Linked DNA regions of Rattus norvegicus. The protein of the gene in region 3 interacts with the protein of the main gene of each other region in a biochemical or structural test. Links are inferred from orthologs where the notes say so. Each region holds a gene or a part of one and is shown on either strand. Other genes may lie near its edges.

Region 1 (5,676 bases), on a different chromosome or scaffold from region 3:
GGAGTTCGGAACACAATGGCCACTTGCCGGTGCACATCGGCTTGAGAAAAGGAGCCTCGTGCCTCCCAGCCAGGTCCCGTGAAATACACCTCAATGTCTTCTGCAGGAGACAGCAGCAGTACGGGTTAGTATGTGTGACCCCCGACAGACTGTTGTCCTCAGCACCTGATGCTTTTCCCTGTGACATCTCCCGCTTCCCCTGAAGTCACTGAGGTAGCTGGCACTCATCACCCCTGCTCAGCCTCTCCCCTCCCCTCTCGGTGCACAGAGTCCAACGTGTACCTTTCTGCACTTTGTCACACAGCAAGAAGATCTCATCCCCACCAAGGCAGCTCCCAGAGTTCCGGTTTACTCGGCAGATCTTGAGCTCGGCAGTGTTGGGGGCACCTGAAACATCAGAGGTCTCAGGGTACCCCGAAGGAGCCGTAACAGTCACGCCCAGCCCAGCCGTGTGTCAAGGTCGCCCACAGCCTGTGACTACACTTCTGCAGACCTTCTGCTGTCTGCTCTTCAGGTCAGCCAGTTCACCACAGTCTCCCTGCAGTGCTTGTAGCTCGGCTCTAGGTAAGAGGGACACGGAAGGCTGCATTTCCGTCCCTCACAGACCTTCCAGTCCAGAGGAGACACTGGCCACATCTGTCTCCTTCCACCTGAGCTTCAGAGTTTCAGCTTTTGGTTCATCCCTGCCTTGGCAATGAGCCCTCTGCTCCTCACTTCCAGTTCATACTGGTTTCCAGTCCTTAGGATTTTAAAGCCCTTCTATTTTCATTTGCTCTGCTGCTTGCTAAAGACTGCAATCCATCAGTGTCAGCCCAGGTCATCAGAGCTTCCTGTGAGCTACTAATGTTCATTTACTGCTGTCTAGCCTTATCTGGTTTCCTAAAGTCATGAGCACAGTTCTTGGCACACCAGCATCTCAACACAAGATATGGAAAACAGTCACTTCCCATCCAACTCCAGGGCATCCTGCAAGCTTCCCACAGAGGCAGCTCTGGGTCTTCTCTGCCCTGCCCCCTGCAGCAAGGCCACACCCACCCCAGCCCCATTCTCTTCCCAAGCCCACCCTCTCCCCTTACTGCAGCTGGCCACTTACGGTTATCAAAAATCGGATGCGAGAGGACAGGGGTCAGGCGGAGGGGCCTGCCTGATGGGTCCCGCACTGTCACCTGGAAGCAGAGGCGGACCGCATTCAAGTCATAGTCCCCGCGCTGCTCCTCTATGGGAACTGTCAAAAAAAAAAAAAAAGTGGTGGAAGGCATGGGGAGGGCAGGGAGCTCTGAGGGAAGAGGAAGGTGATTTGAGGATATATAAAACAGAAGTCTAAGGGGAGGAAGACAAAATCCTAGACCCATCACGGCTCTACTGGGACCTGAATACACCACCCCTTTCTAGGCCTGACTCTCAACGGTAGCATGTGAGTGTGTACCATGCTGGCAGCGAGGTTCCACTTGTACTGTTGGGTTGGTCATGGAGGGTGAGGAGCGCCAGAGGCCCAGGGAAGGTGGCAGAATGTGCACCACAGGCAGGCTATGTCCTGCCCCTTGCTCCTACCTTGAAAGGGGTTATTGTTGGTCTGGATGCGCTGGCTAATGGCTTGCTCCAGGTCTCGCTTCTTCACACACTGGATCCCCAGGTTCTGGAAGCTGAGGCCTCAGGCATTAGTTCTGTGTCTCCAAAAGAACACCCTCTTCCCACTCCTCAGCTCACAGCTCAAGGCTTCCCACTGTGCTACAATGAACCCACTCCTTACCCACTGGCGAGTCTCTGAGGGACCTGGCCCACACCAGCCCCCAAGTCAGTGTCCTAGCCTCAGCCACAGGGCCTTCCTGTCCCGTCCCTGAGCACACTAAACTTAGTCCCTTTTCCAGGTCACCATACTTCTTTCTTGTGCATGCAATGTTCTTTTGGGCTTGTCTGCTTTTTCTCACCATTTGAGTGTTAGCACAGAGGCCTTCTGCAATCTTCCAACCCAAAGTCATGAGACCTACGTAACAGGACATGGTGCTACGCGCCTATTACCCTTGGAGTTGAGAAGAGGAGGTAGGTGAACCCTCATGAGTGCAAGGCCAGCTTCAGCTATATGAGACTCTGTCCCTATGCCACGAGACCAGCCTCCTCCTCCTTCTAATTTATTACTGTGTTTTCTTTTCATCATGGAAATTATAATTCTCCACTAGTATCTTTTCTATCTGTTTGTACAACTGTCCCCTGGTTTTACCAACTGGTATTTAAGCTCTAGGAGAGTCCATTACGGACTTTCTGATACAAGAGCCTAAGGGACTGGGCTATCCAGTCATAAAGGATCTGTCGCTCCAAGATAAAGAGTTCCCATCTGTTAGCGAATTTAAGACAAAGGGGGTCTGTTTGCAGACCTGGGGACAGAGCAAGGACTCTGGATTCTGCCAGTGTTTAGAAAAGTGTAACTTTGTAACAGCTGCCTGGCCCAGCCTGCTCTTACCCTGCCCCCTACCTACCCTGACCTCACACTACCCCCAGCCTATCTATTCAGACTCACCTGTGGATGCATCGGTCTGGGCAGAGTTCAGCCTCATAGAAGCCATCCCGGCAGTCCTTCCCCACAAGTTCATGTGGATGAGGCCGGTGAGGTGGGTCTTTGGTGACCAGGGAGATTCGAACTGTTCCTGGTCCCGTGTAGCCATTGATCTGTCCAAAGTACAGAGTACTTTAGAGGCCAGCAATCCCAAATCTGGCTCCTAGACACGGGGCGCGGTGGCAAGGAGGCAAGTCTGCTGGGGCTCCACAGTGCCTTCCACCACATCTGTGTCCCCACCCCGACACCCCTGGGGGCTCTTGCTTACCTTGATGGTGGGGTGCGTCTTAGTGGTATCTGTGCTTCTCTCCCCAGGAATACTGCCTGCAGAGCGGCCCTCGCACTTGTAACGGAAACGCATGCCCCGCTGCTTGGGCTGCTCAATGATCTCCACATATGGCCCAGAAGCCTGGGCTGGCTCTGTGGGTGATACGGTCAGCCATTAGGTGCTGCCCCCATGGCCCCTACTCCAGGACAGCCCCTACCTACTGAGGAAGGATGGTCCACTTACCTGAGGGAAAGATGAGGGGAAACAGATCTGAAAGGGAAAGACAAGGCACACTGTCAATAAACTCCAGTACCCACCCTCACCAGGGAATGCCTCCAAAGGAAACTGAGCCAAGATCCTAAGACCTGCCCTGAAAGAGGCCAGGTAAAGAAGGCAAAAGCATCTCTCTACTAGAGAAAAGGGGCACAGAGGTATTCCTTTGCCCGGGGAAACTGAGTCAGAGCCTGTTTTACGTTCATAAGTGACACTGAGGAAGGGTTCTACCCCCTCTCCTTTTCGGGGGATACTGAGTCAGATACTTTCTCCCTTACACGGAAAGGAAGCCAGAACTAATCGCATCGACACAGTGGGTGGGGGGGGGAAGCCGGAGGAAACTGAGTCAAGATTCACCCGTACTCCCACCCAGGAGGGACATTGAGTCAAGGCGCCCTCCACTGAGAGGGGCAACTGAGTCAGACCCCTCGCAGCCCGCCCCGCCCCGTGCCACCATCCGGCCTGCCGCTCCCTGCGCAGCAACCCGCGGCGCAGAAAGGGGCGGAAGACGGCGCGAGGGGGATCCCGCCGCAGGTCCCGGAACTCTAGGGCAGCCGTCCCGCGGGCCAGAGGGCAGCCTCACCGTCCATGGCCAGGGTCCCGGGGGCGGGGCCGGGGTCGCAGCTGAGCCCACGGCGCGCTAAAGCGAAGCCATTCGCCAGAGGCGGAAATGCGCGGCGCGCGCCCGTCGTCGCGTCACTGCCCGGAATCCGGCCGCGCCTGCGCGCTGCGCCGCCGCCACCGACGCGCGTGGGGGCCGAGAGCAGGTGCGCAACTCACGCTGGGCGCGGAAGGTGTGCGGCGCGCGGGCGGGGACACCGGAGCGCGGCGGTAGGACGCCGAGGCTATTCGTCCTGAGGCCCGCCCGACTGCAAGCCGCTCCCGGACTACGCAGCGCGGTTCGCTCCGTGTCCGGGCCCCGCCTGGAGGGCGGGCCCGCGATTACTCACTCTGTTTTTAGGGGATTTCGGGTCCCGTTCCCCGCCCCGCTCTGATCTCAAGAGTTTGGTGATGTCACCCTGGCCTGGTCTGGAGCAGAGCCCGGGCTGCTGGCAGGCTGCGGCCATTCGCCCTGCACAAGGAGAGGCTCAGGCCTGCTGCTTCCGCGGAGCACAGTGACTGAATTCCACACGTTTTCCTACTCGTGCAGGGCCTTCTGGGGACCGCCGCGCGTTACAGGCCATATGCTCCCAACCTAGATCCGGCTGCGCGCAGGAGTGCTTCCCAAAGCATGCTTCATCAAGGCTTGACTGAGGCCTTGGTGTAGAGGGGACCGAGGTAGACACCTGTACCTCTAAGAGTCCCTGAGAGCAATGAATGCTGGAAGAGCTCCAGGGCTTCGCCTCCACAGATAGGTCCTGTCTGCTAAGGTTCAGATCCCTAGGGATCTCCGGAGCTAGCCAGGGTCACACCACTTGAGCATCTCCTTGAAGGCCTCCCAGGAGCCTGAGCTCCAGTGATGAAAGCTTTTGTAGGGAGAGAAAATTGCCATCTAAGCCAAGGGCGGGTGTGCAGATTGAGTCTGGGGACACTGGCTGGAGGAATCAACACATCAGGCTCCCTCCACAATGCCAGAAGGAGGAGGCGGGGTGGGGGGCAGAGGAGGCTTTAGCACATGGAGAAAGACTTATTTTCTCTAAATTAGGAAATCATGTGGGAATTGGAAAAGATTGGAAATTCTGACTTCTTTCCCAGGCTCTGAAAAAAACAGGAAGACAAAAGTGAAAATAGTTACCGCCCCTCCCACTCATTTCAGTTTCTCACTTGGCGCAGATTAGAAAAAGCAGTTTAATGTTTTGCGGGGGCGGACATCAAGGTGACAGAATGAATTATGGTCTCCGATTAATGGCACACAGCCATCATTGATCCTCGCACGAACCACTTTTAAAAACTGACATATAGTTGCAATTTAATTAATATGAACATGAGTGTACTTACTGAAAAATAAGGGCTAGAGATGGCAACTCAGGAAAGTTCTTAACATTGAAGGAAGCTCTGGGTTTGATTCCTAGGTCTAGGATGTTCCAGTCATCCCAGTACTCATGGGGTCAGAAGTTCAAGGTCATCTTCCTCTACATAATTTGAACCCATCCAGAGCAACAGAAGATGCTCTTAAAAAAAAAAAAAAAAAAAAAAGATGGCTACAGGCTGGAGAGATGGCCCATCAGCTAAGAGTCAATACTGCTCTTGTAGAGAGAGGCCAGTTACCAGTGACTGTAACTGCAGCTTCAGAAGACCTCATCCCCTGTTCTGGGCTCTTGAGAGCATCTGCATTCACATGTGCTCATACATAATTAAAGCTAAATATGAGTTGGGCTTGGTAGTGCAGACCTTTAACCCCAGCACTCTGGAGGCAGAGTCAAGTGCTCTCCTAGTTCGAGGTCAGCATAGTCTATACATAGTGAGTTGCTAGACAGCCAGGACTGTATAGACACTGTCTCAAAACAAATTAAAAAAACAAAACAAAACAGTAGAGCTTTGTTTACATGGAGAGCTCTGGACCAGCAGAGACTACACAGTGAAGTTTTATCTCAAAGGGGAAGATGGGTAGGAGTATAGCTCAGAGTTACCTCATTTGCCTAGC
Region 2 (5,760 bases), on a different chromosome or scaffold from region 3:
ACTCATCTTTAGACAACACTGAGATCCTAAAAACCACAGGTGAAGATATTGATAACTGAGTGCTTCAAACACCCATCCACAAAGGCTGTATGTAGCCCCTGGAACAGCATGTGGTCTCAGTAACAGACCCAGACAGGTCCAGGCCAGCACAGAATGCTCTCACAGACACACAAGGAAACCACTCTGACAGGCTAATACATATATGGTCCCTTCCTGGACTAAAAGCTCAGGAGCTGCTCCAGTTCAGTTTCTGACAGAGTGTGTTTCAGAAACAGGCGCGCTTCTGTGGGAGAGCCAGGGCAGACTGTTACCTCCTCTGGGCAATGTGAATGACGTACTGTTTGAACATGGATCAGGCACAGGAAAACCTTGAACTCCTGATCCTTATACCTCTACTTCTTAAGTGCTGGAATTATAAAGGTGCCATCACACGTGGCTCACAGCAACTTTTAGAACTATTAAAAACAAAAGTTCTGAAGACTGGGGACTGGCAGAGTACTTATTTGGTGTGCATTCCATTCTGGGTCCAATCCCCAACAGCAGTTAAGTGCTCACAGTGACCAGCAAGAGATTCATATAATAGAGTAACAGTGTCACACCTAAACCAAGAGCCCTGAAGAAGAGCTAGCTTTCTACTCTAAGCCTGTCTTTTTTTTTTTTTTTTTTTTTTTTTCCGGAGCTGGGGACCAAACCCAGGGCCTTGTGCTTGCTAGGCAAGCGCTCTACCACTGAGCTAAATCCCCAACCCCAAGCCTGTCTTTTACAGACTTAATGTATGGTACTACATACTGTCCACAGTAAACAAGTACTACATTATAATGGAAACATCAGCTTCTTGCTGTTACCATTTTGAAACAGGGTCTTTGTAGTGCAGGCTGGCTTTGAACTCAAGACTCAGTATCCTCATTCTTGCCTGCTTGGATTATAAGATGTCAGTTAACCAAAATAGGCTGTTGGTGTTTTAATTTATTTTTATTTAACTAATTTGCTTTTTAAATTGTTTTCTTTTTAAAAAGAACTTTGTGTCCGTATGACTATATATGAACATGGGTACCCAAGGACAGGAGAAGACAATATCAAACCCCTCGAAACTGGAGTTGGTCATCTGTGACCTCAGTGTTGGGCTGTGATCAAACTTAAGTTGTCATATAGAATAGCAAGTGCTTTCAATGGCTAAACCATCTCTCCAGACCAACTTCCTTTAAGGTACAGTTTCACTCTAGGTAACCCTGGCTGGCCTTGAACATGTGGATTCTCCTGTCTCTGCTTCTCCCTAGTCAATACACCCCGATAGGATCTATAAACACACACACACACACACACACACACACACACACACACACAGACAAGGTAAAGGTAGGTAGGGCAGGAAGAATGTCTGAATTGCAGAGGTGTAGAGAGGTACACAGGAAGCACCCAGCAAGTGCTCACTGGGTGGAAGCCAAGCCTGTAGCTTATTTCAAGGACTGCCCCCCCACCCCAAATTCCAGAGCAAAGTCAGTAGAGGCCAAAATCCAGATTTGCATTCCTGGCCTTTGGCTCCAGGATGGTGTCAACCTCTCCCACAGAAAATGTTTGCTGGGCCTTAAGTACCGTGGGGGAAGGGGATCCTTAAGTACCTCTGCACCTAGCACATAATGGGGACTCACGAACTCCACAACTTGAGTGAATGCAATGTTTAGTCAAATGTAGAATATCTGCCCAGGGCCCAACCTTCTACCTACTGGTACAGGCCCGTGGAGTGGAGGGAAGGCAAGCCAGCTGACCCACCAAATACTGGCCGGCCTCCTCAGTGGGAGGAAAGGGCTTTAACAATCAGGAAATACCACTCCCTAGAAGAATGATTAAGAAGTTCCATCATTTGTGGGCTTCAGCCTCCTCATCTATGGAAGGATGAAAAAGTAAGGCTGTCCACAGGGTTAAGTGGGTAAAGTGCTTAGCACAGAGCCTGGCACCCAAAACGTCCTCAAAACAATGGTGGTTGCTATTGTTATTGTTATTAGCATCTTGGTGATTCCGGAAGGAAGGCAGCACTGGGCACTGGGCCAAAGGGGGTATGGGCCTTCTCTAAGATGCCTCTGGGACCAGCTGCCACCCGCACCCCCACCAGGAGTTGAACAGTTTCTACTCCGGTATTGGGTCTGGCCCCTCCCGCTTGCTCCAAGCCCCCTGCTGTGAACACCTCCTGCTTGCTCCACCCCTACAATAAAGTTGGTGGCCCACTGGCTGAGCTGGCCCCTGCTTAGATCCAAGTTCCACTCTCCACTTCCGCTGCCTTTTCTAGGCCCCCAGCCTAAACTGGTCTTGCTACTTAGGATCAGGAAAAGACTTTATCCAGGGATCTCCCTCCCACGTCTTCTCTCTCCAGGAACTGGAGGCCCCTTCTCAGGGGCCCAGCCCACCCAGTCTTCCAGAGTCTCAGGGGTCTGTCCGCCTGATTAATAAAGTTCCATGGCAACCAGGGGCTGGAAGGGTGGCAGATGGAAGGACAGGCAGAGGAAGGGTTGCAGCAGCTGGCCCAGCACCCCGCCCCTGCAGAGAAGGCCTCCCAATCAAGAGGCCTATCCCCAGAGGCCTGGAAGGCCAGGCCTGCACCTGGCAGAGCCACGAAGGAGGGTCTCTCGAGGATGTCTCCAACAGTCACCCTCTTTCATCTCCATCAAGCAACTGTGCGCACTAACTAGCCATAGGTTCTGCAGCAAGCCAGCCGCCATCAGTTCAAATACCAGCCCCACCATCTGCAGCTGCGTGAAGCACTTCCCTGTCTCTGGGCCTCAGTTCCTCCCTCTGGCAGATGGGCACGTGACAACACCCAGCTCACAACAGAGTTGAGAATTTTGGCCGACTTCAAGTGTGCCAAAGCCTGGGCGTGCAATAAGCAAGCACCAGCTGAATACACGTGAGCCATTATCATTAATAAACCTGCCGCTCTGGTGAAGACGCTGAGGCCCAGAGCAAGGCGCAGCAAACAGACAGGGCAAGGCAGTCAGTCAGCGCGCGCCCCGGGGCGGAGCCCCGAGGCCCAGCCCAGACTCCGCACCGCCCAGCGCTGCAGCCCGCCCCTCCCCCGCCCGCGCCTAGGGTCCGTACCGGCGGGCGGCCGAGAGCCGGGCGCGGTGCACTAGGCGCGGGTCGGGGCGCCTGCGGCGTTGCGAAGAGCAGCACGTCAGGATCTCGAGGGCCAGCGGGCGGCGCGGCGGGGCCGGTGGGGACCTGCGGGGCGCCGACATCGGGCGCGGTGGAGATGATGACGATCTGCGAGGAGTCGAGCAGCCGCAGCGCGCCCGCCCCGAGCAGGGCCTCCAGCGCCGGCGCGTGCTGGCCGCCCGCGGGGGCTACGGCCATGGCACTCACGGCCCGCGTGGCCCGGGAGGCAGGCGGCGGCGGCGGCGCGGGCCCATGACGGCAGGCCGCGGCGAGGGCTCGATCCCGCTCCGCCCCGGCCGCCGCTGCCTGCAAAGTCCGGGCCACTTTTACGCGCCAAATCCTTTTTGCCGCGAAAGAGCCACGCGCCGCCGAACGCCTCCTCCATTGGCCTGCGTGGCTGTGACGAAGTCGGCTTCGGTAGCAGACATTGGTTGCAGCGTGCGGGGCAGGCGACGGAGGGTGGGACCAGGGGCGGGGTGGCCAATCGCGGGGCGGGGCGCGCGCAGGCTTTGTCCGGGCGGTGCCGGGCGCCTTCTCCCTTCTGCCTCTCGCTGTGCCCTGCAGGGGGCGTGGGCAATGGACCCCGCCCCCTTCACCGCCCACTCGATGGGTGGCGGGGTCTGGCGAAGGCAACAAACTTCGTACTTGGTTCTGCACGTCCCGCAGTCTCCACATGCCGCATGAGCCCCTAAACTCTCAACCTGTGGTCTCCACCCCCTCAGTTTACAGTCCAGAAACTGCTTCTTCTGCACGCTCAGGCTCACCTCCAAAGTTCACTTCAGCCACATCTCCGGTCTTAAGACCCACTTATTCCATTAGTTCACATCATGGGTTCTTCCCTGTCACCCAGAAGCCAAGCCCAAGAGGGGTGCCAGGAAATGAGTAGGGATGTGTGGCTTTGATCTCAGTCTCATTTTACTGAAATTCCTTTAGTAGCCAACGCCCAGTTATCGTTCATTCGTTTGGTCAGTCCACAATGGCACCTGTCTTTAATCCCAGCACTTGGGAGGCAGAGGCGGGCGGATTTTCCAAGTTCAGGCCATTCAGGACTACACAGTGAGACCCTGTCTCAAAAAAATCACAAACGCCTGAGAGCCTGTTTATTGTCCCATACTCAACCCAGACCTTGACTCCTGACTTAGTGAAAAGGAAAAAAGGGAACCGAGAGGCAGCAGATGCTTACAATGTGAAGAGATTGAACTAAGTAACTCCACGTTAGGCCTCACAGAGGGCGGTGCAGGGGTGGGGAGGGTGCATATGGAGGGATCCTTTAATCCTGAGGTCCTCCATCAGCATTTCTGATTGCTCAGGTCAGCCCATCTGATCAGCATTGTGGTCCTCTCTGACAGGCATCTTGCCAATACTGGGAATCGAAACACGAAAGGTTTAACAAGACCTACATACTTCCTGCCCTTGCGGGTGGGGATGACCACAAGAAGAGTAGCTGACAGGGGCTGGGGATTTAGCTCAGTGGTAGAGCCCTTACCTAGGAAGCTCAAGGCCCTGGGTTCGGTCCCCAGCTCCGGAAAAAAAAAAAAAAAAAAAAAAAAACCAAAAAAAAAAAAAAAAAGAAAAGAGTAGCTGACAATATTCAAGTCCCCAAGTCCAGTGTAGGCTACAAGGAGCTCTCAAGCCCGGGTACTTTCACTATCACCTCATACTACTTTATCTTCCACGCATCGGTTAACTTTGAACCACCCAACCTTGGTCAATTTAGAATCAATCCCAGGCCGCCCCCGCCCCCCTTTTTTTTTGTTTTTTTTGGGGGGGGTAGTTTGTTTCTTTGTTTTTTCGAGGCATGGTCTCATTGTCTGGCTCTGGCTGTCCTGGAACACGCTTAAGTATGCCTGCTTCTGCCTCCCAAGTCTGGGATTGAACGAGTTAGCCATTATGCTTGGTTTATTCACACACACACACCTTTTTTTTTTTTTAAGATAATAGAATCTTGCTATGTAGTAGCTCAAACTGAATCAATGTAACCTTCCTGCATGGCCTCCTGAGTGCTAAGACTGCATGTTTGGATCACTATCCCCAGTTCCGGTTTAGAGTCTTTTGGTCAAGATTGGAAGAGATTAAGTCCCAGGACATGGACTGTGATACAGCAAGAATAAATAAATAGGGGCTGGAGAGATGGCTCAGTGGTTAAGCGCACTGACTGCTCTTCCAGAGGTCCTGAGTTCAAATCCCAGCAACCACGTGGTGGCTCACAACCATCTGTAACGGATTCTGGTGTATCTGAAGACAACTGCAGTGTACTCATATACATTAAATAAATAAAATATTTTTTAAAAAGAAGAAGAAGGGGTTGGGGATTTAGCTCAGTGGGGACCTTGGGTTCGGTCCCCAGTTCCGAAAAAAATAAAATAAATAAAATAAAAAGAAGAAGAAATAAATAAAAATGTAAACAAAGAAACACAAGGAACACTTATGCCCATCCCAGATAATGTGTTCATCTTTGAAAACAAATTGGTATACCTTTACAATGAAAATGTGGAGTGGAGCCGAAATTTACAATTCCTACAGCTGGGTATAGTTGCACACACCTGCAACCCCAGCAGGTCAGGTAGATAGAGGAAGTCCAGGAGAGTGCTAGGTCATCCTTGGCCATATAGG
Region 3 (5,603 bases):
AGTCTAGGCTAAAGGTACAAAGGGTAATCCAGCCTAAACCAGAGAAGTCTCTCCCCACGGGGCCTGACCATCTAATGCTCAGGAGAAGTCCATACTGCCAGAGTGGCATCCCTGGTGTGTTTGCAGGTGAGAGACTGGACCCTAAGCCTGCTAACTGAACATCCACAGTCTTCCTCTTTCTAAAGCAGAGTGGAGCTAAACTTTCTGATAATATTTGGGGCTAGTGTCTCTATAACTTTTCTCTTAAATGCTTTTTTTCCCCCTTCGAGTCAGGATTTCTCTACATAGCCCGGGCTGACCTGGAACTCACTCTGTAGACCAAACAGGCTAGCATTGAGCTCAGAGATCTGCCTTCCTCTGCCTCCCTAGTGCTGGGATTAACGTCACCACGCCGTTTCTTTTGCTCTTTTTTTTTCTATTTTTCTGACATATATATTAGCCAGTGGTGGTGCTGCTCAATTGGTAGAGAGCCTGCTTCCCTAGCACGGAAGAACCAGTCTTGTAAACTCAGCATGCTGGCCAATGTTTGTAATTGCCGAGCGAGCTGTGGCGATGGAGGCGAGATGGTTAGTTCTCCTAACCAAAATCATCCTCCTGTACTTAGTGAGTTAGAGGTTAGAGACCCGGGCTACAGGAGACCCTGCCTACAATACTTCACCCCACCAAAGGACATTTAAGAAAAGAAGGGGATGTTAGGGGTGGGGGTGCTGACTCTCCGAGGCCTTGGAAGTGCCTTGAAATCCTGCCTTATTCATTGTTCAGAAAACCAAACGGAATAACTTACTTACCCTCCTGCCCTACCCGCCACGATGACTGTTCTTGGCAGAAGGCCAGACCGACACCGGGTAATTCCATGGTACATTCTGTACATGTGTAGCCATTTAACCCGCTATTTAAAGTGGTCCTTTGCTGCCACCTGTAAGAGGTAGCACCATAATGACACTCGTTAAGTGGCTGGGCTGGGAAGGGGGTTTCTTCCCTCAAAGATGCCTGAGTCGGTGAAGTGGTTGGCACTTGGAGAAACTAAAGAGACATCTGGGGACATCACAAGTGTAGGACCGGAGGCGAGAGGAAGCGCGCTAGACACGGGGTCCTAGCTCAGGCTCTCCGCTTGGTGGCTCCTTCTCCAAGACAAGGAGAAGGAACCCGCCAAACCTCGGGTGCGGCCTGCTGCCATTTGGGTTTGGTAAATTCCTGGATCTCCCTAGGGACCTGGGAATGAGAAAGAAGGTGGAGACTGGGGACTCTGGTAGAAAATGCAGTCGGGCGGAATCCGGGGCGCAGGACGCCCCCTGGAATCTAGGAAACCGGCTTGTGGAGGGGACTCTGGGCAGTGGAGAGGGAGGGGGCACCTGCGCTCCTGTGCGCGTCGCACTTTGCAACTCTGGGCGGCGGCGAGCTGAGTGAAGTGGGCTCCAGGGCGCGAGGAAGTCGAAGCTCAGGAGCAGCAGAAAGGCTTGGTTCCGAGTGAGCTCTAGCTGTCCTGGAGTGGGATAGTGGGAGGAACACCCAGCACCGCTCACTTCCAAGTCCCCGGTGGCACATCGCGGGGTATCAGGCGCTCCGAGCCCCTCACCCACCCCAGGCGGGTACCCTGGCGGCCCGGGGTGCTAGCAAGCAGCCGGCGGCGACCTGGACCGCGTGGCTGGTGAACAGTGAACCAAGCCAAAAGGTAAATGCAGCCGGGCCGGCCCATAGCCTGGAAGAGGCGGCGCAGCACCGGAGCGTCTTCGGCTCTAAGGAGCCTCACTTCTGGGAAAGGACAGGGAACTGTCAATCAACGAGGGAGGGAGCGCACCGGCGCCGGGTGATGTCAGCGGATCAGCTGCTCCATAACAAAGAGGGGGTATCGCAGGAGAAAGTTGCAGCGGCAGCAGCACCCCGGAGCCTCGGGCACCGGAGACGAGGGGAGGGGGAGCGGCGGTTGCGGCTCCGCGGCTGGCGGAGGAATTAAAAGGACTGTAGGGGGAGGCAGTGCGAGCGGCCCCGACTGCTCCTCCTCTTCCTCCCCCTCCTCCCCCTCCAAACTCGAAGGGCTTAGCTCCTGCGTTCGCTCAGCCACCGCCAGCACCCGGAGGGACCGGAGCCGGACGCACGGCCCCGTGCTGGGTAGGGTCGCAGCTGCCATGGATAGCGACGACGAGGTAGTGGAGGAAGCCGTGGAAGGTACGGCAGGCTTTTCTCCAGGACCCTGGAGTGGGGACAGGCGCCTGGGCCGAAAGCACCAAGAGTGATGGTCTGCGACTCGGCGGGGCCGAGCCGAAGGCCACCGCGGTCCCTAAGCGGATGGCGGGTCGCTCGGCTCAGGCGGGGGCTGCACTGCCTACGCCACGCCGCCGGGAGCGCGCGGGGCGCGGTGGGGCACGGGCAGGGAATGGGGCCCCGCGGCCCTGGGAAGGCTGGGCCCCTGCATCCAGCCGGGCCACGGCAGCATCCTCCCTGGGAGTTGCAACGCTGCCTAGCACCTTGGCCTTAGTCCTTGCGGGGATGGAGGATGGGAGGGCGCCGGAGGGCAGTCCCTTGAGGCCCGCGATCTCCGCGGAGCAGCTGCGTTTCAACCACTTCGACTTCCCCTCTCCGACCGTCTGCCCTTTTCCTAGCTGAGTCGCTGCGTCCGGCGACCACTAGGGCGGAGTTTAGGTGGGTCTTCCATCGCATCGCACCCGGCCAGACACATGGTAGCCCCGGGCGCTCCTCCCGGAAAGAAAAAAAAAAAAAAAAAAGAAAAGAAAAGAAAAAAGATGAAATCATGGCTAGGTAGTGCACGCCGCTCCCCACCAGGCTCGAACGCTCTGCGTTCCGGAGGCGGCTGGCCCTGGTCTGCGCTGCCCCCGGGCGAACTCAGCCACCCACCCCTTCCCCCTCCCTGGCTTCTGAGCGAGGTGCAGCCGCGCCGTGCGGACGCTCCAGCCGGGACCCAAATTGCTGGGTGACACTTAACTTTCTGAATTCCGAGCTGTTGGCTGCTGGTGATATCACCGCCTGGGTGTCAGGTTTCTCCGCCCCTTCTTGCGCACCCCTCCCCCGACTCTTGTCGCCACCGTGTTTTGCTGAGTTTCTCTCTCTCTCTCTCTCTTTTTTTTTTTTTTTTTTTGCCCCCCACTTATAAAAGGCACCGTAGGGACGTTATACAATCTCGATGTTTGTGTCATGAGAGGTTATGATTTTATAACAATAGACACTGAAAAACATTCTTAAGCGTATTTATTATTTATCTTATTCTATCCCAGATAGTGTTCCCGTGATGTTTTGCGTAGTGTTGTTCCAGAATTTGTTAAACGCAGCATCTCAGTAAATAATTTTAAGTCCATGGTTAGTTCTCGTTTTAATGTATTTGTATAAAAAAGGCCTGACAAACGATAAATAAAAACGTGGCGGTGCTTAACAAATGCATATAGATATGTATTTGTTAATGGTACGTTGGGAGGAACCCCTTTTTGGTGTGTTCATAAATATAACTTTTTTTTTCTTTTTTCTTTTTTTTTCCGGAGCTGGGGACCGAACCCAGGGCCTTGCGCTTGCTAGGCAAGCGCTCTACCACTGAGCTAAATCCCCAGCCCCCATAAATATAACTTTTGCAGACTGCTGAAAGCTTAGGGTGAGATGAAGTAGAATCATTTTTTTGAATTCCCGAAAAGGCATTCATTCTAATTTAAGTTGTAAAATTTATCTTCATTTTAGTTTTTTTTTTAAAAAAAAAAACTTTAAACTACATAATTTTGCTTGTAACTTTTGAAGAGACTAAAATGTTGTGGACTCACAGAGCTTATATGTCTCTAAATAAACCCAGTGTTGGAATTAGTGAGGCCCAGCCAGCTTGAGGGAGCCATAGGAAGCCTTAACTTTCAAAGTTATTGACTTCTTGTAAATTTCTGTTATGACAGAAAACATGTTCTTAACAAATCGCCCTCCACTGTCTTGCTCATTCTTCTGGGTTTTTTTTTTTTTTTATAGTATTTGTTTAGGTTTGTTTGGGTCGTTGTTGCTGTTGTTGATTTTTTTACTTATTTATTTTACCTCATGTGAAATGCATATATGTCTGTGTGAGGGATCATATTCCCTGGACCTGGTGTTACAGATAGTTGTGAGCCACCATGTGGTTGCTGGGAATTGAACTCAGGACCTGGAACAGCAGCCAGGACTCTTAACCACTGAGCCATCTCTCCAGCCCCTCCTCCTGTTCTTTAACTTGCAAATTTTTTTGTTTTTTGTTTGTTTGTTTTGGTTCTTTTTTCGGAGCTGGGGACCGAACCCAGGGCCTTGCGCTTCCTAGGTAAGCGCTCTACCACTGAACTAAATCCCCAGCCTCTGTTTGTTTGTTTTTTAAAGATTTATTTAATATATGTAGTTGTCTTCAGACACACCAGAAGAGGGCATCAGATCTCATTACAGATGGTTTCGAGCTACCACGTGGTTGCTAGGATTTGAACTCAGGACCTCTGGAAAAGCAGTCAGTGCTCTTAACCACTGAGCCATCTCTTGCAATTTTTAAAAACAAACCTTTGATCACAGATAGTGCCCCCAACTGAAGCCATCTGTGTTTAGAAAACATGCCCTGTTGTTTATGACCCTAGCACTTGCATGTGAACAAAAACCAGACCTAGTGGCATACACCTGCAGGTGGAGGTGGAGGCAGGAGGATCAGGAGTTCAAGGCCATCCTCAGCTGTATAGCAAATTCAAACCCAGCCTGAACTATATGAGACCCTTTCTCAAAATAAAAATGTTTAAAGTATGTTTTCAGGTTTCATGTTAATCCAGTGGGTTCAAAACACCGAGGTTTCTTTACATAAATGGTGTGTGTGTGTGTGTGTGTGTGTGTGTGTGTGTGTGTGTGTGTAAGTAAATGGGGGTCTTTTTATATAGGATGGACAGATATAGCATTACTATAAATAAGAGTAAATAAGTAGGGTAACTTTCTTGTTTTGCTTTTAGTGAATTTTTGTTTTTGTGGATTTTTGAAACAAGATCTCAGTGGCCCAGGCTGGTTTTGATGTGATGTGCTGGGATTACAGATGTGAGCAACTGTACCTGGATTTTTAAAAGAACAACAACACAATTTTCTTCCTTCCCTCCTTCCTTTCTTCTTTCTTTCTTTCCCTGTGTATGTCGGGCAAACGATACACCATTCGGCTACATACTCCTGCAGAAGAGTAACAATATTGTAACATCCTGAGGAAAGCCAGGTATAGTGAAGCCTAGATGTAATCCCAGATACATAGGAGGCAGGGGAGACTGGGAGTTCTAACAGAGCTTAGACCTATAATAGGTGGATTTTGTCTCAAAAAAAATTAAAAGCAGTAGAGAGATGGCTCAGTGCCTGCTCTTGAAGAGGACCTGGATTCTGTGCCACCATGTGGTAACTCAGAACCCCCAGTAACTCCAGTTCTATTGATTCATACACATAAAAATAAAACAAATCAAAAAAAGAAAAAAGAAAAAAGGCTCGAGAAGCATCTTAGCCTCAGTTTTGCAGTGTGCCAGAGCAAGTGTGTGCTTGCGGTAAACTACATCCCTGGCCCTTTCCCTGGGCACTGTTGGCCTTGGCACTTCGCACTGCTCTCTGCACGTCTCTGAGCAGGTTGGACGGCTGCGGTCTTTTCC
Region 4 (5,704 bases), on a different chromosome or scaffold from region 3:
AACCAAAAAAAAACAAAAAAAAACAAAAAACCAAAAAAACCAAAACCAACCAACCAAACAAAACCCATTTATTTGGGAGTGTATGCTGTTGTATTTGTGTTCTTTGGTATGCTGGACACAGAATCAGAAGAGGCAAGGGTCTTACCACTGAGCCACACACAGTCCTTTGTGCGATTTTAAATATCCCATCAATTGATCAAGTTGTGTATGCTATGGACTGTAGACTGTAAACCTACTTTTGCATTTTTTTTTTCTTTTTTTTTTCCGGAGCTGGGGACAGAACCCAGGGCCTTGTGCTTGCTAGGCAAGTGCTCTACCACTGAGCTAAATCCCCAACCCCCTACTTTTGCATCTTGATCCAGTTTGGGCCCCCCATCTTTCTTTGTAAAATGTAGTGACACTATGGTGAAACAAAAATATCTTTATTTTGGAAAAGCACTTTTATCACTGACCACAGCAGTGCCTTATCTAAGTATCGGGCACTTCTGGTGGTCTTTGTGCTGATTCGGCAGATAGCTGTAATTGGCCCACCATGCGTTTGCACTAATAAAGTTTTATTGGGACAGCTCTTTACTATGTGGTTCACAAAACCTTCAATATCCCCTTCTCTATGAAAGTTTGACCTCCACTCCAGTGAGATAGATGGTAAGAAAGAGTCTCTGGCCATGACTACCAAGAATGGCATCTGGTAGGAGTAACAGGTGGTTTCCATGTGGTCCGGGGGAGTTTTGGTGGAAGTGTTTGGGGCTGTACAAATCTTCCCAGAGAATGTTCTGTAGAAACAATGGAAGTCCTGGGGCACACAGGCTCGAGAGAAGTGGTCAGTGGAGCCGTGCTTGGTGGAGGATGTGTTCATCCAGATAGCGCTCGCTCTGCAGACGGAACAAGTGCTTGTCTGATTCCCCTTTATTATATGTATTTAAATCTGTTGTGGGAGGGCTCATAACACATGCTATGGTGCATGTGTGGAAGTCAGAACAGCTTGGATGGAGACCGTCCTCTCCCTCTGCCATGGAGTTCCAGGACATCAGGATAGGCTTGGCAGCACGTTTACCGATGGGGCTGTCCTGCCAGCCTGGATTCCACACTTCTCTCTCATCTCGGCAGCAGTTGCTAATAAAGCAGATGTCCCTGAAGTCTGGCTTAGAATATGGCTGGTGAGGGACTGGGGGGCAAAGCTTAGTATTACCATTCTCTAGCATGCATGGAGCCTCATTCCCAGGACCCTGTTCCTTGACTTGAGGCAACTCAACAGGGAATCTGCCTGTCTGTCATCTGTGCTCTTTGCTTCTTTCCAATGCGACTCACCGGTGGCAGGGCTAGGTTCTGGCTGGTTGATGGTTTCCCTCTGAGATGGCTGACTGCCCTGTTCCTGTCCTTCTATCTTTCCTGCTTTCCCCAGAGGTGTCCCTGTGGCCTGTGATAGGCTGAGGAGCATCTTGTCCAACCTGCAATCCAATTACCCATTATACACGAGGTGGCACTGCCGTAGAGATCTACATTTTGGGCCCTGGAACCTGTTCGTCTCCGTTTCTCTCTGGTATTTTCTTTCTCGTTGGTGCTGCTCACTCTTTGGGTCTCTTTCACAGACAAGCCCACCCTTGAAGCCCACCCTTTTGTTTTGAGACAGGGTTTCTCTGTATAGCCCTGGCTGTCCTAGAATTCACTGTATAGACTTGGCTAGCCTCAAATAGTGATCTGTCTGCCTCTGCCTCAGTGCAAGGGATTAAAGGCATGCGCCACTGCTGCCTGGGTTTTTTTTTTTTTTTTTTTTTTTTTGGTTCTTTTTTTTGGAGCTGGGGACCGAACCCAGGGCCTTGCGCTTCCTAGGTAAGCGCTCTACCACTGAGCTAAATCCCCAACCCTTTTTTTCTTTTTTAAAAAGACTGTTTTTAGACCAGGCTGAACACACAGATCCTCCCACTTCTGCCCCCAGAGTGCTGGGATTAAAAACATGGCGCCACAGACTCCACCACCTCTGCCCGACTCAAAAGATCACTTTTTTTAAAAAAAATTGTGTTTGTGCATGTGAGTGCGGTGCCCATAGAGACCAGAAGAGGGCGTAGGATCCCCTGGAAGTGGAACTACAAGGGCTTGGAGTGCCTGGATGTGGGTGCCCTGTGAAAGGGGAGTACTACCTGCTCTCAAGGGCTGATCCACCTCTTCAGGCAAGGGGGAGGTGAGTGGCTCCAGTCACAGTGCGGACGAGCCCACTCCAGCCAGGAGGTGTGGGTGCCTCCGTCCTGCGCATGCGCACTCCGTTCGGGCATAGCATTGTCTTCCCCCACTCTCTTGCCCTGTGTGGTACATGCTGCTTCCGCTTGCGCCGCCCCCTCCCAATTGGTTTCCGCGCGCGCGAAAAAGCCGGGGTCTCGTTCAGAGCTGTCCTGTCGTCTGCAACCTGCAAGATGCCAGCACGAACAGCTCCAGCCCGAGTGCCTGCACTTGCCTCCCCGGCAGGCTCGCTCCCCGACCATGTCCGCAGGCGGTAGGTACCACACAAAGTGGGGGCGAGGGGCGGGACCGATGCGGAGGCATTTATTGGGGTATCTCGGGGTGGCCCTGCGGCCGCTGACAGCCAGGGCGCGCATGCGCGGGGCAGCGTTTGGCGCGGGCTGTGCTTCCGGTCGCGCGCGCCTCTGGCTGTTGGCGCCAAAATGGGTGGGGGCCTGGTTGCTGGCAAGCCCATTGACTGGGAACTTGAGGGAGGAAGGGGATGGTCCCTTCTAGCCTTCTGGAATAGAACAAGCTTGGGGACACCTTCAGGGTTTCCCCTCTTCGGCCAGCCCGGCTCCTGGGTTGCAGGAAGTGCCCCTCTCAGGGCCTGTGGACACCCTGAAGCCCCCACCCCTCTCCAGCCTTCACTTCCGGTGCCCTGCAGATCCCGCCGCGCCCACCCGAGGGTTCCTCCGCTGGGACCCCGAAGGCCCTCGTGCAGAAGGGCTCTGCATTTCTCCGTTCGAGTCCCGCTGTCAAGTCCTAGGAGCTTTTTCTCTCATGGTGCGGTGCTGGGCCTGAGCAGCTTACAGCCCTCGTGGGTTTTTGTTTTGTTTTTATCCCAAAGGAGCTCCTGCGATCCTGGAGCTATCAGAGACTATGCCTGGAGAGAGGTGGTGCAGAGTGGGCCCTCCACTTTGGCAGTAACATAAACTGTCCCGAGATCCCAGAGCAATCGAGGAAACCTTTTAACACTGTCCAAAATGTGTATCAGAGGGAGGGAAAAATGGATGATAGTAAGATGTCTCCGCCCCCGCCCCGTTATTTTAACCCCTGTGAACCAGTTCCTTCGATTCTGCCGCCATCGAGGAAGCTTTTTACATTGTCTAGTGTTTATTCCGAGGAGTGAGATGGCAGATAAAACTCCCATTTCAGAACATATGAATTCCCCCACACTCCCGCCCGAGCAGTCAAGGAAGCTCTTCAACTTTCAATGTTGTGTCACTGGAAATGAGGGATCCTACCACTAGTACCTTCCATACCTCCACGGGGAGGTCTGTGTTCAGGGATTGGCGGGAACACCGGATCCTGCTTCCTGTTCCAGAAGGGCATCGTCCATCCGTTCAATCCTGAAAGCTTGTCCCACGTGTCACTGTGCGCTACTTAGTCATAGGTTCCCTGACTTTTGCTGCACATATTCCAACCCGATAATGAGTTTACTTTTGGTATTTCCATGGGTTAGTTTGGTGGGGTGTTGCCAGGCCGGTTGCCTTTTGAGGTTTAGGGGGATGAAGTGGGAGGAGAGCCTGAATTCCCCCTTGTCAAACACTCCCCACCCCCAGTTTGCCCCCGGGATTGGACCTGAAACTCTGTGAACGGTTTCTACCACTGAGCTATACATCTCCAGCCCTTTCACTTTTTCTTTTCTTGGAGATGGATTCTTGGTGAGTTTTCTCAGACTGGCCTAGAATTCCCCATCTCCCTGCCTGTGACTCCTCAGTGCTGGGGGTTACTGACATGTACCACCATGATGGTTTGGTTATTGAATGCTGGCTTTTTGATTATATAGACACAAACATTCACAGCCTTTGACACACCTCAACAGATTTTTTTACCTTTACAATTTACTACCAAAAAATACATACCTATTAAAGTATTTCGTTCTTTAAAGTTAGACAGTGCTGTAACCTGCCTTTCTGTCTTGTTTTTTTCCTGTTCTTTGGGGTGTGTGTGTGTGTGTGTGTGTGTGTGTGTGTGTGTGTGTGTTGTTTTCATTTCCAGGAAAGGATTCCTGTAGCCCAAGAAGGCTAGCCTTAGGCTGACTGTATAACCCAGGCTAGCCTTGATCTCTTGTATCTACTCAAGTGCTGGGATTACAGGAATATGACCCGGGTTAACTTTTGATTTAGAAAAACTTAGTTGCAAAGTATCTACAGTGTGAGATAGAGAGGTACTGACATTTGGTGGGATAGTCCAGAAGCTGACTTAGGCCTTGTTGCAGCTTCCGTCCACCCTGTTTTGTATTTAAATGGCAGTTTAAATAGAAATGTGCATAGTTCTGCTAGCTGTATAAAATACAGGATTTTTCAACATGTGGATTTTAAGTCTTAGTGTGTATGAGGGGAGGGTATGTGCTACAGCTTGAGTGGAGGTCAGGACCCCTTGCAGGAACTGACCTTTCCACAAGGTCCTGGTTATGGAACTCATGTCATCAGGCTTGGTAGCTTCCCCTCATCGGCTGAATTCTCTTGCCAGCCCCAGACTGACCGTTTCTTTGAAATACAGTAAACCCTGCATCTTTGAGGAATTCAAATCATGCTTTTTAGTGAGATGTGGCGGCCATGGCCTATAACCCCAGCCTTTGGGAGGCAGGAAGGTCGTGAGTTAGAATTCAACTAAGGCCTCATTTCAGACATTCACACCTTGCAGGTGAGGGATTTCTTTTCCTGAACAGGTGGCATCCTCTTCCCTAGGGAGGTTCCTTTGACACGGGTGTCTAACTTCTTTCCATTTTTTACAATTGAAACTTATTTTCAAGGCATGGTCTGGTCTCTATGTAGTTTGTCTGGTCTCGGTCTTGCTATTGTTCCTCTCAAGTGATGCGTGTTACGTGCCTGGCTGACTCATTTTTGTTAAACTTACATATAAATGGTGTGTGATACATATATACGTATATACACATATATACACATATATGTATACACACATGTATGCACTCTGGTATGTGTTAAGGGGAGACTTTTTAACTTTATGTGCATGTGTACCACAGCGTACGTGTGGCAGTTAGACGTTTTCATGGTGTTTGTTACACTTTCACCATGTGGATTTGGGGTCATACTGAGGTAGGTGGTCAAGGATGTGGGACACGTGCCCGTCTCCCCAAGCCATAGTTAACTACATTTATCTGTCTGCGTCTGCATGTGCATATTTAGCAGTGTATTATGGCGGTCAGAATACTTTTCCCGAGTCAGTTCTTGGGCAGTACTGGAGATGGAGCTCAGACCATCAGTCGTGGTAACAAGAAATGGAGCCATTTCATCTGACCCTATAAGTTTTATTTCATTTTGAGACAGGGTCTTACTATGTAGCCTCAGCTAGCCTGGAACTCTGGGGACCAGGCTGCCCTCGAACTCTGATATCCACCTGCCTTTGCCTCTTGGATACTAAGCTGCCACCATGGCCAGTTTAGAAAGCTGCTGCTGCCTTTTTAATTCCATTTGAACTTTTTGGAATTGGTTTCTTGCCTTCCCCCTTATGCTGAGGGAGA

The links.
Region 1: of the proteins of Setd7 (region 3) and Rela, one has a biochemical effect on the other in vitro, tested with the Homo sapiens proteins (3 studies listed by BioGRID and IntAct, with this or other methods). The link is inferred for Rattus norvegicus from reciprocal best matches to the Homo sapiens genes SETD7 and RELA.
Region 2: of the proteins of Setd7 (region 3) and E2f1, one has a biochemical effect on the other in vitro, tested with the Homo sapiens proteins (3 studies listed by BioGRID). The link is inferred for Rattus norvegicus from reciprocal best matches to the Homo sapiens genes SETD7 and E2F1.
Region 4: of the proteins of Setd7 (region 3) and Dnmt1, one has a biochemical effect on the other in vitro, tested with the Homo sapiens proteins (2 studies listed by BioGRID and IntAct, with this or other methods). The link is inferred for Rattus norvegicus from reciprocal best matches to the Homo sapiens genes SETD7 and DNMT1.

What each region holds. Positions count from the first base shown.
Region 1 is NC_086019.1:212,352,403-212,358,078, reverse strand, and holds the start of Rela (transcription factor p65), read right to left. Parts: upstream 3,744-5,676; 5' UTR 3,683-3,743; coding exon 3,676-3,682; intron 3,090-3,675; coding exon 3,063-3,089; intron 2,972-3,062; coding exon 2,820-2,971; intron 2,665-2,819; coding exon 2,516-2,664; intron 1,644-2,515; coding exon 1,552-1,643; intron 1,226-1,551; coding exon 1,094-1,225; intron 388-1,093; coding exon 283-387; intron 101-282; coding exon 1-100. UniProt on the Homo sapiens protein: NF-kappa-B is a pleiotropic transcription factor present in almost all cell types and is the endpoint of a series of signal transduction events that are initiated by a vast array of stimuli related to many biological processes such as inflammation, immunity, differentiation, cell growth, tumorigenesis and apoptosis.
Region 2 is NC_086021.1:163,532,066-163,537,825, forward strand, and holds the start of E2f1 (transcription factor E2F1), read right to left. Parts: upstream 3,499-5,760; 5' UTR 3,346-3,498; coding exon 3,091-3,345; intron 1-3,090. UniProt on the Homo sapiens protein: Transcription activator that binds DNA cooperatively with DP proteins through the E2 recognition site, 5'-TTTC[CG]CGC-3' found in the promoter region of a number of genes whose products are involved in cell cycle regulation or in DNA replication.
Region 3 is NC_086020.1:137,752,747-137,758,349, reverse strand, and holds the start of Setd7 (histone-lysine N-methyltransferase SETD7), read left to right. Parts: upstream 1-2,030; 5' UTR 2,031-2,126; coding exon 2,127-2,166; intron 2,167-5,603. UniProt on the Homo sapiens protein: Histone methyltransferase that specifically monomethylates 'Lys-4' of histone H3. H3 'Lys-4' methylation represents a specific tag for epigenetic transcriptional activation.
Region 4 is NC_086026.1:27,759,466-27,765,169, reverse strand, and holds the start of Dnmt1 (DNA (cytosine-5)-methyltransferase 1), read left to right. Parts: upstream 1-2,408; coding exon 2,409-2,488; intron 2,489-5,704. UniProt on the Homo sapiens protein: Methylates CpG residues. Preferentially methylates hemimethylated DNA. Associates with DNA replication sites in S phase maintaining the methylation pattern in the newly synthesized strand, that is essential for epigenetic inheritance.